Linked DNA regions of Canis lupus familiaris. The protein of the gene in region 1 purifies or fractionates together with the protein of each later gene. This does not show direct contact. Links are inferred from orthologs where the notes say so. Each region holds a gene or a part of one and is shown on either strand. Other genes may lie near its edges.

The links. The genes of interacting proteins can lie anywhere in the genome.
Region 2: the proteins of PUS10 (region 1) and ABITRAM purify together in Homo sapiens (affinity purification with mass spectrometry; 3 studies listed by BioGRID and IntAct, counting the BioPlex papers as one, with this or other methods). This does not show direct contact. The link is inferred for Canis lupus familiaris from reciprocal best matches to the Homo sapiens genes PUS10 and ABITRAM.

The regions. Positions count from the first base shown.
Region 1 is NC_049231.1:62,390,999-62,399,300, reverse strand, and holds the start of PUS10 (tRNA pseudouridine synthase Pus10), read left to right. Parts: upstream 1-3,676; 5' UTR 3,677-3,977; coding exon of another isoform or gene 3,978-4,069; 5' UTR 4,070-4,235; intron 4,236-4,325; exon of another isoform or gene 4,326-4,705; intron 4,706-4,807; exon of another isoform or gene 4,808-5,043; intron 5,044-5,187; exon of another isoform or gene 5,188-5,514; intron 5,515-8,302. Other genes in the region: PEX13 (peroxisome biogenesis factor 13), read right to left, coding at 3,978-4,069. UniProt on the Homo sapiens protein: Protein with different functions depending on its subcellular location: involved in miRNA processing in the nucleus and acts as a tRNA pseudouridylate synthase in the cytoplasm.
Region 2 is NC_049232.1:64,462,039-64,469,740, forward strand, and holds the end of ABITRAM (protein Abitram), read left to right. Parts: 5' UTR 1-307; coding exon 308-567; intron 568-1,122; coding exon 1,123-1,252; intron 1,253-4,189; coding exon 4,190-4,266; intron 4,267-4,345; coding exon 4,346-4,415; intron 4,416-4,506; coding exon 4,507-4,644; 3' UTR 4,645-5,879; downstream 5,880-7,702. Other genes in the region: CTNNAL1 (alpha-catulin), read right to left, coding at 7,636-7,701. UniProt on the Homo sapiens protein: Actin-binding protein that regulates actin polymerization, filopodia dynamics and increases the branching of proximal dendrites of developing neurons.

The DNA of each region.
Region 1 (8,302 bases):
TAATAAAGTTGTAGGGGACCAAGGTATCAGGCAAAATCTTAAAAGCTACTAAGAAAAAAATAGTCTATCTATAAAGGAATAAAAATTAGACGTAACAGAAAAATTTCCATAGCTATACATCCTGGATATAAAGCCAAAGAAGTACAGTACAAAGAAAGAAATTTAAAGACTAATTTCACCTAGATATATATATAAAGAGCTTAAAATGTAAAAACAGAATTGAACATTGTATTTTAGAAAATAATCACAATTAAGCAGTTCATCCAGAAACTTATGGATGGTTCAACATAAGAAAGTTAACTGATACAAATAAACCACATTTTCGAATTTAAAAAATACATATGATTATCTCAATAAATGGATAAAAGTCATTCATAAAATGTAATACTCCTTCATAATAAAAATCTGAGCAAGGTAAGGAGATAGAAGTTCGAAAGGAAATCTATTAAAAACCAAAAAGCATAAGGGGTGCCTGGGTGGGCAGTCCATTAAGCATCTGGCTTCAGCTCAGGTCAGAGTCCTGGGATTGGAGCCCAGTATCATGTTAGGTTTTCTGCTCGAGGAGTCTGCTTCTCCCTCTCCTGTGCATTCTCTTTCTCTCTCTCAAATAAATAAATACATCTTTTTATAAAAAAACCCCCCAAAAAACAAAAAAAAGCAAACATCATATCTTAATAGTGAGACTTGAGAAGCATTCCAATGAAAGTCAGAAGCAATACAAGGATGATGGTTATCTATGCTAGCTTATTTGTAAATGATACAACTGTCCAACATGGAACACAAGAGAATTTCAACTAAACCACCAGAACAACTTAAGTCTGAATTATGCTGGATATAAAAGATGGAAAAATACTTCCTTGAGATAGTTACATTATTTAAGGCAAAAAAGATTCAAATTCTCAAAAAGTTCCAATAAAAATCTCAGTAAGTCTTTTTATAAAGGGTAAATGTAACAAAGGCAATTTTGAAGAACAGCAATGTATGGAGGTTGTTCACATACCAGGTATCAAACTTATTAACTAAGACAGTGTGGGGGTGCCTGGGTGGCTCAGTTAAGAGTCTGACTTTTGATTTTGGTTCAGATAGTAATCTCAGGGTCATTAGCAGGGGTCCCTCAGTGGGTAGTTTGCTTGAGATTCTCTCTTTCCCTCCTCCTGCTTGTTCTCTCTCTAAAATGAAAAAATACAATCTTAAAAAAAAAAAAAAAGTGGTGCTAGCATAAGAATAGAAAGACCAATAGAACATATCAGAAAGCTTCCCAAACAGAACCCACACATTTATGAAAGCTTAATATGATGCAGATGGCATTATAAACTAGTATGGTATAAATTAATGATACTGGGGTATTTATCCCCATGGGGGAAAAAAAAAAACCTATATTCTCTACTTTGCAACTGATTTTATACAACAGAGTCAGTTCCAGGGAGATTAAAGATATGAATGTGAAATGCAGAGTATTTTTAAAAAATAGAGAAAAAAAATTTTTTTTGAAAAAAATTTTCTTGATCTGAGGCAGAAAGGGTTTCTTAACCAAGACAGTAAAAACACAAACAATAAATATGAAAATTTTGGTTATATTTAAATTAAAAGTATCTATACAACAAAAGTGAACATGAATACAAATACAGCAAGAAGACAAGTCACAGACTGAAAGATATTGAAAACATACAAAAATAGAGTAAGTATGAATAAAGGACTTTTAACAAGTTGATAGGCAAATTTGGAGCCAATAAAAAAAGTGGGCAAGAAATATCAACAGAAAAAACTCAAATGGCTAATATTCAAAAAGATGCTCATAAAAAAAAAGATGCTCAATCTTATTACTAACCAGAGAGTACAAATTAAAAATGAAATATCTTTTCTTATCTATTAGGTTGGCAAATAAAGAACTAAAAAATAACATCAAGTGTTAGAAAGAATGTAGAGACACAATACTTTGCTAGTGAAAATGTAAACACTGGTATAAAACCACTTTGGGGAGCAACTTGGCAATAGTTAGTACTTGAAGCTAAGCATACCCTCCACCAAGCAATTCCACTTCCAATAACAATTAGGAAACACCTTGGAAATGAGGACAAGAAGAAAGGCACAAGAATGGTCACTGCAGAGGCACCTGGGTGGCTCAGTGGGTGTCTGCCTTAGGCTCAGGTCGTGATCTCACTGTCCTGGGATCAGTTGGCATTGGGCTCCCTGCTCTGAGGGAGTCTGCTTTTCCCTCTCCCTCTGCCCCTTGCCCCTGCTCATGTTCTCTCTCTCTCTCTCTCACAAATAAGTAAATAATCTTTTAAAAAAATCACTAGCGGTTTTTAATATGTAGCTAATACTTTAACACCTACAACAGAATAAGTTTGTTTTAATAGAATATCCTTTGGCGATTAAAATGAACTACAGATGTAAGTATGAACAAGAGAAACCTCAAAATCAGTATTTAATGGAAAAAATTTGCAAAATGATAGTTTGAACATAAAGTCTAAAAACACACTAAACACTATACACACAGATACACACACACACATAAAACACAAAAACTGCTAAACTATAAAAACATAATTGGGCACACAAACCACCAAATAGGGACAGTAGTTATAGCAGGAAAGAAGAATGGGAGGCTTAACACTTTCTCTAAGTTTTATTATTATTTTTTTAATCTGAAAAAAAAAAAAAATCTGAGGCAGATCTGGAAAAATGTTCTTAAAGCTAGCCTGAGTCCGCAAGTATTCCTTGTCTTAACACTCTACCAGATTTCTATGTGTTTAAAATTCTCAACGAAGAAAAATGGGGGGAAAAAAAGGTTAATTTTACATAAACAGGACTTTTAACAAGATGCCAAGTATAAAACCTGTCTTCCCAAATTGCTGTTCAAGGTTTTAAAAAAAGTCCAATGGCGGGGGGGGGGGGGGATCCCTGGGTGGCGCAGCGGTTTAGCGCCTGCCTTGGGGCCCAGGGCGTGATCCTGGAGTCCCGGGGATCGAGTCCCACCCACGTCGGGCTCCCTCTGTGTGTGTCTCTCATGAATAAAATAAATAAATAAATAAAACCTTAAAATTAATTAATTTAAAAAAGTCAAATCATTCATAACACAGCAGAAAGCGTCGCCCTCCAACTTAACAGTACAATCAAAGCTTATTACTCGTGATGAATCTACCATTATTAGATTAAGCTGCTAATGTGTTCAAGTATCTCAACATTTCAACAAGGATTACAAGATCTTACAACACAGCAGGAATACACCCAGTATATGGGGGTGGGGGGTGTGTGGGGGGGTTCTCCCTCTGCCTGTGTCTCTGCCTCTCTCTCTCTCTGTGTCTCTCATGAATAAATAAATAAAATCTTAAAAAAAAAAGACACCGATGAGAAACAAACAAATAAATAAATAAACAACAACACACAGGCCTTGGAAAAGTGACCCACAAAGGCCATCTACATATAGGCCTCGGATTTAGGACTCCCGCTTGAAAGTTGCTTCTCCAGGTCTTTACCCAAAACGTCGCTCAGTTATGCAGAAAAACAACATAAAGTGCATAGACCTGGGTTCACAGCGACCTTCGGGGCCTCCACCAGCTGCCCGAGAGGCGCCGTAAAAGCCGGGCGGAGACTTTGCTCCCTCCGGGGCGACCTGGGGCTGGGCCAATCTCAGCCACTCACACCTGCCAAAGACCAAAAGTCGAACATTTTTTTCTAAGGGCCGAGCGGTTCTGTCGCCGTGTTCCGCTCCCAGGAAACGGAGGCAGGAAAGCCTCCCGCTTTCCTGCAGGCGCCGGGACCCAGGGAGGGTCCCCCTGAAGAGCGTCCCTACCGAGAGCCGTCCAGTCCGAGAGAGCCGTGCGGCCCCGGAGTGGTCTCTAGCTTAGACCCCTCGGCGCCCGGGCCCGGCGCGGGGGGAGGGGACACCTCCGCCCCACAACGGCCTCAACCGTCTCCTGCCAAACCGCCGCTCCGCCCCGCCAGCCCCGCGGCCAGAAGAATCCCACACTCACTGGAAAGAGGGGCCGGGGCCCGGGCCCGGCCCGACCCCAGGAATTCGCCGGGTCTCCCAGGGTTTCGGGGGAGGAGGCGGCTGGGAAGCCATCTCCTCCGCCACCGCTCGCCTCCCCGTCCGCGCTGGGACTCCCCAGGCCCGGGGACAGCAGCACCTCGCCAGGCACAACGGGCAGAGCACCGAGTTCTCCACCCCCGCCCACCCCGGCCGCCAGCGCGCCGCCTGCGCTACTCTGCCAGAGGGCACCTGAGGCCAGGTCGCTGCTGCTAATCCACCGGGGGTGGGGGGGTGGGGGGGTGGGGGGGGGGGGGTGGGACTCTCTCTCTTTTAATTTGCAATTATGTCCATTGTAAACCTGAAGGTAGGCGCTCATCGATATTTCTGGCAGCGGCTACAACGCCCTAGACATCGGAGTCCTATGGAGGCTTCTCTGGGACGCTGCGAGTTCTGTCCCCCGCACTTCTACCGCCCGCGGGGTTGGCAGTGGGGGCAAGGGGTTGTGGCGGCGGGCCAGGCAGCTTTTCTGGTTTCCCCACAAACAAGAAGAGGCGAGAGTTCACTCGCTCAGCCCTTTGCGAGAGGGCCTGGTACTTTCGTTCCAAAGCTCTCGTTTCCTCGGGGAACAGAATTGCGTCACGCAGTAGGTGCGTTGTCTTTAGTCTTCCCCCCGTTCCCTCTGGGGGACCGGAAGGGGTTAAAGCCCAGGCTCCCGCGTCGCGAGAGAAGGTGAGGCAGGAAGGTCTGGGGGGCGGGGCGGGGGCCGGGGGGCGCGGGCTCGGACGGGGCGCTGCAGAGGTGTGGATGGACCGGGTGGCGTCCTTCCTCCAGGAGCGGCCTCGTTAGCAGGAAGGGGCGAGCGGGAAGTTCCTCGGACCCGACCGCAGCCGGGGAAGGGCTCGCCTGGCCGGAGGAGAGACTGGAGGTTAGGCTCTGGATGCATTTCCACGCGTCTAGAGTGGATTTTGCAGCGGAGAGCGACGGTAGCGCGATGAAGTTGTGAGCGTCTCCTTCGAAAAGTGCACGTCCTCCGCCGCCGCCGGGAGACGAACCACACACACGCTTCGGTATGGAAATGAGCGTTGGAAGATCCCGGGGTGCGAGACCCAGTTTGGCCATATTGTGTGTGTGTGTGTGTGTGTGTGTGTGTGTGTGTGTGTTTTCACACGCCCTGCTCCTTCCCTATCTGTAATGAATGGCTTCTGTTTAAGTCCAAGAGGTGAAAAGAAAGTCCGCCGTCTCCTCCAGGCATCGCTGGCCCGTGGAGAACTGACTCAGACCCCGGTTCAGGATCCTGGCAGGTGGGAGGAGGTCCTGTTGCAATGACTGAGTTCCCATGGTTTATGTAAAGAAGCACGTAGAGGAGAAGCAAAAACAAAACAAAACGAACAAAACCGGAACGAAGGCAGCCGGCAGTGACCCACCTTAGAGCTCTTAGGGCTTTGCTTTCAAAGCTGGGACACCTCGTAGGGGACGGCTGATTTCTGAGGACCTAAGGAATTCTTGCAAGGCCGCGCATCAAGAGGAAACCACCGAGTGTAAGGCAGAGCGCATTTCCTCCTTTTAGATTTTTTAAAAAAATATTTTTTATTCATGGGAGACACACAGAGAGAGGCAGAGACACAGGCAGAGGGAGAAGCAGGCTCCATGCAGGGAGCCCGACGTGGGACTCGATCCCGGGTCGTCCAGGGTCACGCCCTGAGCCCGAGGCAGGCGCTGAACCTCTGAGCCACCTGGGGATCCCGCATTTCTTGCTTTTACTGTCAACTTGTTTGAGAAGTCGCTAGATTGCTGCAAAGTGAAAAAGAGCGGGAGGGTTCGGAAGACCCATCACCGACACATGCACACCGAAGACTGGGTTTAGTCTTGTGTCATTCATTCATTCATTCATTCATTCATTCATTCATTCATTCATTCATTCATACCTCTTACGATTACTCAGGCCAAGAGGTTTCCGAATTCTCCGCAGTGTTGGGAACATCTCAGAGCCAAGAGGTTGTAATGTGTCATTTATTGCCTTTGCAGTGATAGCCTTCATACCAAGAGTATACCTCTCGGAGAAATAAACAGTCTTTGAACCAAAGGAAAGAAAGTATCCTTTTTTTTTCCCTCCCCAATTGAATTTTTTGTTTTTAAATTTAAGTATAGTTGACCCACAATGTTACACGAGTTTCAGGTGTAAAACATAGTGATTCAATCTCTCTGTAGGAAATCCTGTGCTCACGCCAAGTGTAGCCAACTTCCGACACCGCCCTGCAACCTATCACAAATCATTGCCTTTTATCCTGATGACTTACTCCACCTTTGGAAGCCTGTGTTCCTCACTCCTCTTCCCTTTGGCAACCATCAGTTTGTGCTTTGTATTTATAGAGATCCGTTTTGTTTGCTTATTCATTTGTGTGTGTGTTTTGTTTTTTGGATTCCACTTAGGGGTGACATCACATGGTATTTGTCTTTCTCAATTTGACTTACTTCACATAGTGTAACAACCTGTTCCGTCCATCCATATTGTCCCAAATGGAACCGTGTTATCGTTAGGAAGCATCCATTTCAATAATAGTATTTATCTTCAGCCCCCCAGGGAAATCTTTGAGACAAAGTGTTCTTTTTATTTTTATTTATTTTCTTAAAGATTTTTATTTATTCATTAGAGACACACAGAGAGAGAGGCAGAGAAACAGGCAGAGGGAGAAGCAGGCTCCATGCAGGGAGCTGGACGTGGGACTCGATCCCAGGACTCCAGGATCATGGCCTGGGCTGAAGGCAGGCGCTAAACCGCTGAGCCTCCAAGGCTGCCCCTCAAAGTGTTCTTTGTAAAAACTTACTCATGCACTTATTTATCAGGGAGGAAGGTTTGTTTCTCTTTCTGAGTTACAGATTAATTCTGGATTAAATGATATCTTTGGTCTTAAGTCATGGAAAGATGGAGAAAAAAAAATAAAGAGTGAGACAGAAATAGTTTCTCCCGGAGGGGATTGTAGTCAAGGATGTACTTTAAATGCTGATAATCAGTCCCTCACTGAGTTCCAATCAAACCAGCAGATTAGGGGCAGCCTGGGTGGCTCAGCGGTTGAGCGTCTGCCTTTGGCCCAGGGCCTGATCTAGGAGACCCGGGATCGAGTCCCACATAGGGCTCCCTCGCCTGCTTCTCCCTCTGCCTGTGTCTCTGCCTCTCTCTCTGTGTCTTTTATGAATAAAAAAAACAAAACAAAAAACTAGCAGATTAAATGGCCTGGCAGAAGGAATCCAAATCACTTGCATATAATGATGACCACATACAGCTACTCTGTACAAGATGTTCTCCACAAACTTTGTGTCCTTTTGTGAGAATGCCCTTGAGCCCAACTTTAAGTAGGCAGCCCTAAATCAAAGCTTAATCCTGGTGTCTCAAAGTTCTCACTGGCCTATCCAGGCAAAGTCAGATGTTCTTCTCTTCCTGTCTGCTAGCTCCCACTCTATGTTTACCTGAATTGGAACTCGGTCAGAGGCAACCTGTTTTTTGTAGTCCTGGCTGCTAAACTGATTTTTATGGTGAAGGGTTCTGTAGAAGTATATACCTGCCTTCCTCATTATTTTGGGTCAAGGATAGACTCCTGATAAGTGGCCACAAATATTTAGAAACTTAAAGTAGTGGATTTTAAAGGGTTGGAAAAGACAAACTACATCTTCACTGTAAGAGGTTGGTAAGAGCTTCACCGTCCCACAAATTTTAAGCAAGTTTGTTCGAATTATGAAACTGCACAAATTAAAAAGCGCCACTGTTTTTTATCTGTATGACCATAGTTATACCATACCACAATTATTATTTTATAAAATATTGCTAGCTCCTCATTTTAAAGTAATGTGAGCTGATTCATTAATCAGACCTATTTTTGTAAAACAGAATGATTAGGTAATTTGATTTTAGTATACCTCCTTCCTGGCAACAAGAGAGTTATATTGGATTTTACCCTCTTCTCTAGTTTTTGTTTCTAAGGATGTTTATTCAAATTGCAAAAACTAACAACTTGTTTTAGATGATAATTACTCTAAATTATTTTGCATGTAATTTGTGGGGGTTTTTGGTGGGGGGAGGTTTTACTTGTGCATGAAAGGAGCAGATTTTTCTCATTTTGCTAATAGTTGGTTGTCATTTAGTTATCTCATCAAAGTATAATAGATGATTTTATTTCTACTGATCAATTTGTTTTAAATACTTGACTATTGGGGGGGCCTGGGGGGCTCAGTTGGTTAAGCAGCTGCCTTCAGTCAGGTTATAATCCCTGGGTCCTGGGATTGAGCCCCATATCGGGTTCCCTTCTAAGCAGGGAGTCTGTCTCTCCCTCT
Region 2 (7,702 bases), on another chromosome or scaffold:
GTGGGGAGCGTCCTCGAGGCCGCCTCTAACCCCTGCCTGACGTAAGATCTAGGCGTACTTATTTTTTTAAAAATACCGTGGCACACAGTTTTTTTAAGCCAAATTTAGGGTTGACTCAACGTCCCGGCTTACCCAGAACTCAGGGATTTCCCAGAATCTGAGACTTTGAGAGCTAACATGAAGACAGTGCCGGGCAAACCAGAAGAGTCGGTCACTATGAAAGTGACCGACGAGACCGGCGCCGCTGTCTTACACGACGGCCGCTTGTTCTGATAGGAATAACGGTTGTGTTCGTCTTAAAGTGAAGATGAAGCGAGATGGAGCAAAGAGTCAGTCATTTAATATTGAGCGAAGGATCCCACCTGGGCAGATCCCTTTCAGTACTTTACAGAAAGCCTCTGTGCACATCTTTTTAAGTAACGAAGGGACGCCAGTGATCAGTGCGTGTGCATCCTCACAACTGTCTCTACGAGCACAGTGGCACCAGCCAACAGGCTCGTTCATCATTCTTCCAGATGTCAAAGGCAAACCCTGTGAGGACCACTGTATACTACAGCACTCCAACCGGTAAGCAAATTGGGAACCTTAAATTATAAAAATAACGTGTCTGGTATGGTCCTGGATTAAACACATATTCATTAAGTGATTCTCCTCCACTGTGTGGCGTTTGTTACAGTTTGGCGGACGAGGAGCGGTTCAGTGCATACTCCAGACCTGCGGGTGGGGGAGACCCCCCCCTCAGCCAGCCACCCCCGCAGTGACCAGCCTCTGCCCAATCACAGCGAACCGCGGGGGCGCACAGCAGGGACAAGGGCAGAGGCACAGGGAGTGTCCTGTGCGCACAGCCATGCCTTACCCCTCTCTCTTCCACCTCAGGTCCACCTGAGGACTTCTGGTGCGTTGCCTTTTTCTGGGAAGGCAATTCAGTCTCTTTTTTCTCCTCTCTTATTAGTGCATTCCCTTCTACAGTTAAGGTCCAGCAGTATGCAGAGGAAAATGGGGGGAATGATAGTCTGACTAAACAGCTGTCGCTGGGTATGTTCTTGGGCCGGTAGGTGTACTGTGTGGTGTGAGGAAGAATTATACCAACCCGTAACAGCATCAAATTTTTGCTCCTTGTAGAATATGTGTCATCACATTAGCAGAATCTCATCCAGTTCTTCAAAGTGGGAAAACAATCAAAAGCATCTCCTATCAAATCAGTACTAACTGTAGCCGACTCCAGAACAAGGTCTCTGGGAAATTTAAGCGGGTACGTCCTGTAATCCTCTACTTAAGTCTTCAATGTCTTAGTCATAAGATAGATCTAGACAATTAGATGTGCTGATTTCTCTTTAAGATCTATTTATTTATTTTAGACAGAGAGAGACAGAGCGCGCGCGTGCACAAGCCAGAGGGGCAGGGGGAGAGGAAGAGAGAATCTCAAGCAGACTCCCATGTTGAGTGCAGAGCCTGACATTACAACCTGAGCTAAAACCAAGAGTCATACACTTAATTGACTGCACCACCCAGGCACCCCTGATATGCTGATTTTAAGAATACTTTAACCCTAAAGAAATTCTTAGACCAAAAAATGAAGTATTTCAGGAAGTATAGGATTTGTCATATTTTCAGGTTTTTAAAAATTTTTTTATTTATTCATGAGAGACACAGAGCAAGGAAGAGACACAGGCAGAGGGAGAAGCAGGCTTCCTGCAGGGAGCCCAATGTGGGACTCAATCCTAGGACCCCAGGATCACAACCTGAGCCAAAGGCAGATGCTCAACCACTGAGCCACCAAGGCGTCCCATAGAAGACCCTCGTTTATACTCCCATTTGTAGTTTTGAAATCCCCCATTTGTGGTTTTGAAATTATAATGTACCTTATAATTATTAATTTCTCTTTGTTCAGGGAACACGTGGACTTCGAAAAGCATGAACCTTTCTTAAAAGATAAAGTCTAGGGCAGCCCAGGTGGCTCAGCAGTTTAGCACCACCTTCGGCCCAGGGCGTGATCCTGGGGACCAGAGATCAAGTCCCACGTCAAGCTCCCGGCATGGAGACTGCTTCTCCCTCTGCCTGTGTCTGCCTCCCTCTCTCTCTCTCTCTCTGTCTCTCATGAATAAATAAATAAAATCTTAAAAAAAAAAAAAAAAAAAAAACAACGATAAAGGCTATAGGGGCATCTGAATGGCTTAGTTGGTTGAACATCCGACTCTTGATTTCGGCTTGGGTCATGATCTCAGGGTCCTGGGATTAAACCCTGCATTGGGCTAGTGCTGAGCATGAAGCATGCTTGAGATCATCTCTCTCCCTCTGCCCCTTCACTCCTCCCTCCCTCCCTCTCTTAAAAAAATAAGAAAGAAAAAAAAAGGTAAAGTTCATCAACTACAAGCATAAGGGTACTTGTGAAATTCCTGTGATAAATCTTTGTCCAAAATCATAACACTTATTTGTTGAAAAACAGAGGACCTGCATGTGGAACCCACTACAGATAAATTTTGATTCTCAGCACTGCCATTCACTTATTCTCCCAAGGGAAGTGATTTTAAAAAAGGGTCAAAACACTTCTGCTCTTTTAACACAGACCCAATGATAGACACACCTTTTGGGACAAATCCCCAGCCCGAAAGTGAGGAGTCACATTGACAGGTATTTTGAAATGAAGTACCCATATGCAGAGGATTGAAGCCAATGTGGTAGCATCTTTATACTGTCTAATAATGTTTTGAGCAAGGGGTGCCTGGATGGCTCAGTCGGTTGAGTATCTGACTCTTGGTTTCAGCTCAGGTCATAAGCTCAGGATCTTGGGGATCAGGCCCCATGTAGGACTCTGTGCTCAGCTCAGAGTCTGATTGTCCCTCTCCCTGCCCATCTGCTACTCTCCTCACCTCCACCTCGCTTACAAGTTCTCTCTCTCTCTCTCAAATAAAATCTTTTTAAAAGAGAGAGAGAGAAAATAACGTTTTGAGTGGTAAAGAGGTTATAGGAATAGCCTCTTAACCTCAAATACCCATGTTAAGTGTAGGAAAAATTTCTGGGAAAAAAGTGAGCAACATGAGAGATTTGTGCATCAGTTCCCATGAGCTGCCTTGTAGATGTTTGCTAGAACCTCACGGGATACATCAGTATAGTGGAGTACCTGAAACAGTCATGCTGTAGCATTGGAACACATGTCAAAATGTAGCATTTGCTTCTCAGTTACAGGATATTGGGTAAACTAGTTTTATTTGCTATTTAAAACTTTTCTGTATTTTCCCAATTTTCCTCAAAGTGCATTCTTTTTAATTAGAAATATCACTGCTTCAAAAACTGTTAGTGATTGACCCTAATAAAGAAGTTCCTTTAGTAAGTTTGTATAAATAAGTAAGGAAATTTAATGAAAGTAACTTTGTATAAATGTTATCATACTCTGTTGTGTTGAATTTTATATTATTGGTTATTGAGGGATTTTCTTACACTTTGGAAATTGTTGTATCTGGCCACATGTAGCTTTCTTATTTAAAGTTGATAAAATAGGGGGTCCCTGGGTGGCGCAGCGGTTTGGCGCCTGCCTTTGGCCCAGGGCGCGATCCTGGTAGACCCGGGATCGAATCCCACATCGGGCTCCCGGTGCATGGAGCCTGCTTCTCCCTCTGCCTGTGTCTCTGCGCCTCTCTCTCTCTCTGTGACTGTCGTAAATAAATAAAAATTAAAAAAAAATTAAAAAAAAATAAAGTTGATAAAATAGGGATGCCTAGGTAGCTCAGCAGTTGAGCCTCTGCCTTTGGCTCAGCGCGTGATCCTGGAGACCCGGGATCGAGTCCCACATCGGGCTCCCTGCATGGAGCCTGCTTCTCCCTCTGCCTGTGTCTCTGCCTCTCTCTCTCCCTCTCTCTCTGTGTGTGTCCAATGAATAAACATATAATCTTTAAAAAATAAAGTTGATAAAATAAATTTAAAAAAATTTTTTAAACTTGACAAAATATATTTTTAATCTTTAATTAAACTACCTATTATTTATCTTAGTCTGCTCTTTCCCCTAGAGCCTACGATGGTACCTGGCCCACTTACATAAATGTTTGAATAAATGGCTTTTCTGTAGTATTGGCAAATACTATATTTTTATTTAAAACAGTAGCTCCAGGAATGTATTCTAACACTGAAGACTGCCTTTCAAAGGAAAATGAAGATGTCCCTCATTTAATTACTTCTTCCCTTTTATTATCAGGGGGCACAGTTTCTAACAGAGCTTGCACCTCTGTGTAAGATTTACTGCTCAGATGGAGAAGAATACACCATATCTAGGTAAGTCGCTTTTTAACCACAATTTAGGAGAAACAAAGGAGGTAGTATCTTTCTTCAAAACAACTTTTGTTTTAAATAGCTGTGTTAGAGGACGGTTGATGGAAGTGAATGAAAACATTCTCCATAAGCCATCTATTCTTCAAGAGAAGGTAAAGGAGGGAGAAAAAAGTATCCCATTCTACATACTTTTTAATCTCATTTTATAGATAAGACAATATTAAATATTCAATTCCTTTCTAGCCATCGACTGAAGGCTACATTGCGGTTGTATTGCCCAAATTTGAAGAAAGTAAAAGCATAACAGAAGGGTTACTGACACAGAAACAGTATGAAGAAGTCGTGGTGAAGCGCATTAATGCCACAACGGCTCCATCATGAGGATTGTAATGGGGTAATGAACAACGCGGCATGCTTATCCCTCCCTGGCCTGTGGCCTGAGCGATCCATGCACTAAAGAACCACCTACACATGTGAAGTGCTTCACCCCAAGCCATCCGCAGAGAAGCCTGACCTTAAAACTTAACCTAGTTTTCCCCCTTTATCTTTTATAACGAGTCTTGGTTCTTGTTTTGTCCTCAGCCTCCCAGATCTGCCCTATGTACTCACTCTGTTCTTGTGCTTTTCTAACAACTGGCAAGGAGAGGATGTTTTTCTGATTAAAAATAAAGCACTTTGAGAAAAATTTGGATAAAACAGATAAGTGTTAAATAGCAAAGTAAAAATAATTTAACTGGGATCCCTGGGTGGCGCAGCAGTTTGCGCCTGCCTTTGGCCCAGGGCGCGATCCTGGAGACCCGGGATCGAATCCCACGTTGGGCTCCCGGTGCATGGAGCCTGCTTCTCCCTCTGCCTGTGTCTCTGCGCCTCTCTCTCTCTCTCTCTCTGTGACTATCATAAATAAATAAAAATTAAAAAAAAATTAAAAAAAATAATTTAACCATCATCCCATAACCCATTAGTAAATACTACATTTTGATATGCTTCGGTTTGAATGTTACGGCATGGTTATTGCTTTTGCCTTGATTTTCCTTCAGTTTAAAGTTGGGGAAAAAAAAATCAGGCCTTTTTTGCCCATTTGGCTTCTGAATGACACTACAGAAAAGGCTAGAACAGCCTCTTCAGCCCTAGCTCTTCTCCCTTTAGATTGTAGGGGAGGGGCAGAGCATAGAGTATACCTCCTCCACTCCTTATACAGTCTGTAGCTCGGATGGCCTTCTCTGAAACAAAGTCGAATGTAACACTGGCTTCTTAAATAAGGGATATAGGAAAAGGCTTTGAAAACTACAAAGGGCTTTCCCAACGTGGAAGTATTCTAATGCAGTGTAAAGCTGCTTATCACAGTACGTACAGTGTAGTTGCTCACACACTCTAGCTGTGGTGTAGCCAGCCAAGAAGTCATTGAGAAGTTGCTGTAATCCAAAGACATAGATGCCTTTGAACAGAACAAAAACTTTTACATCATCTAAACTAAAAACAGAACTGATAGGCTTTAAGATTGTCTACTTACACTGAATTTCAAATAAAAGGACTTTTTAAATTGTTTTTTTTTCTTAAAGGCTGTAGCACATGTACATTTAAATATCTCTGTAAATAAAACAGAAGATGTAATTTAATACAGAAGAAATCCCTTTACTTGTAAATTCCTTTGGTTCTCTATCCGCTTAGCCTGTTGGTCGTAAGTCACCCCTTCCTCACCCCCCATTGCACTTAAATAAGAGAATATTCTCATTTCAGGTATATAAAAGTATTTTGTAAATAAAATCTAGAAGTTATTTTTGATTCACAAGAAAAACTTCTTGTAACTTGAGTGGCAGCATGACTGTCCTTTAAATATACCCACCAGACATAATATAGGTAGTAAGTGTACAGACATCTACACTGATGGTGCTAAGAGCTGGAAACAGAAGCACAAACCAGCTGATCCCCATTTTGAGTAGCATAATGATTCCTGAAGACATCAAAAAGATACTAAAGATAGTAAAAGATGTATTTTTGCATATAACATTACCTCACATTGTTCTCCCATTATTTCTATTTCTATTGTAATTTTAAATAATATTTTGGTCTCAGAGAATAAAAATCATGCTTGATAATTTTTATAAAAGAAGTATTTTTAAAGGTATTAACTAAGCCAAGTATATCCCATATTTTCCTGAATGCTTACAGTAACTTCAAGTGTCTTTCAATAAAATATTGACTAGCTAATTGGTAGTACTGTGGTTCTTCAGAATCTTGTGAATATTGATTGTGATAGCTGACCCAGATAACAATCATCACACAAGCTTATATAACTACTGCAGTCTGGCAACTGACGTGTCCTATCAGATTTCAAAATGAATTTCACAGCACTGGAATACAAGCATTAGCAAAAGTTCAAAACATGGTTAAACCATAAGGAGAGAACATATAAACTACGTCCCTTGATCAAAGCCCCACCCCAAACAGAAACAAAGGTTTAAACACTAAAATTAAAAAGATGAAAGATGTTTATTTGTTTTATAATGAACGTTCCAAAGGCACATTACAAAATGCACGATTATTCAGAATTTATTTTAAACATCTTAGTTCCATTGTTCTCTGTCTCGAATCTTCCATCAGTCAGTACAGAGAAGGATGGTTCAAAGACATTTTTTACACCAGTAAGACAGGCTTAGGATTCCAGCTATTACACAATAATATTGATAGCTGGCTATGGTAAAAGGAGAAGTGAAAGCCATCCCCTAGTGAGTTCCTGTAGGATTCTGTGGGTGAGCTCCATGACCCCACTTTTGGGAATGGGAGAGGGATGTGCAGCACAACAGAGCCCATGCTATGAAATGCTTGTTAGAGAACAAACGTGTGCTACCACGATGGGTGGTCGGTGACAGGACAGCAAAGAGGCCAGTCACAATTGTGGACAGAGGGACTGAAGAAGAGTCCACAGATTTAAGGAAACCCCTGCATTCACCCAGACAACTATGAATATATATATATATTTTTTCCTGCTGAAAATTAGTGTTCTAAATGATAGGCTTAAATAAAAGGAAATTAAGGTATTTTATGCCAAAGGTGAGCACATATTCAAAATAGCTTCTTTGGATAAAACTGTCACTAAGACAGTTGGGATATTTGGTTTGACTTTCAAGAACAGTATTAGTGGCAACGTCCCATTGTAAATTCACACTGCAATTAAGAATGTAGCAACTACCATTGAATTTATTAGTTGTCAAAAAACATCACAATCAGTTTTGTGATCAGAAAATAAAGCAAAATTTCATTATTGTTTTCCTTATAAAATTGTTAAATTTCTGAAAATATAAAGGATCATTTGCTTTCTAAAAATACCAGCTTTGCTCCATGCTGTTCCAGAGATCTGACCCCAAAAGCTTCTCAAGTTTTACCATCGACGGAGTCTTTATTTGTAACTGAGACCCATCTGTTATTTTCCATCTGAAGC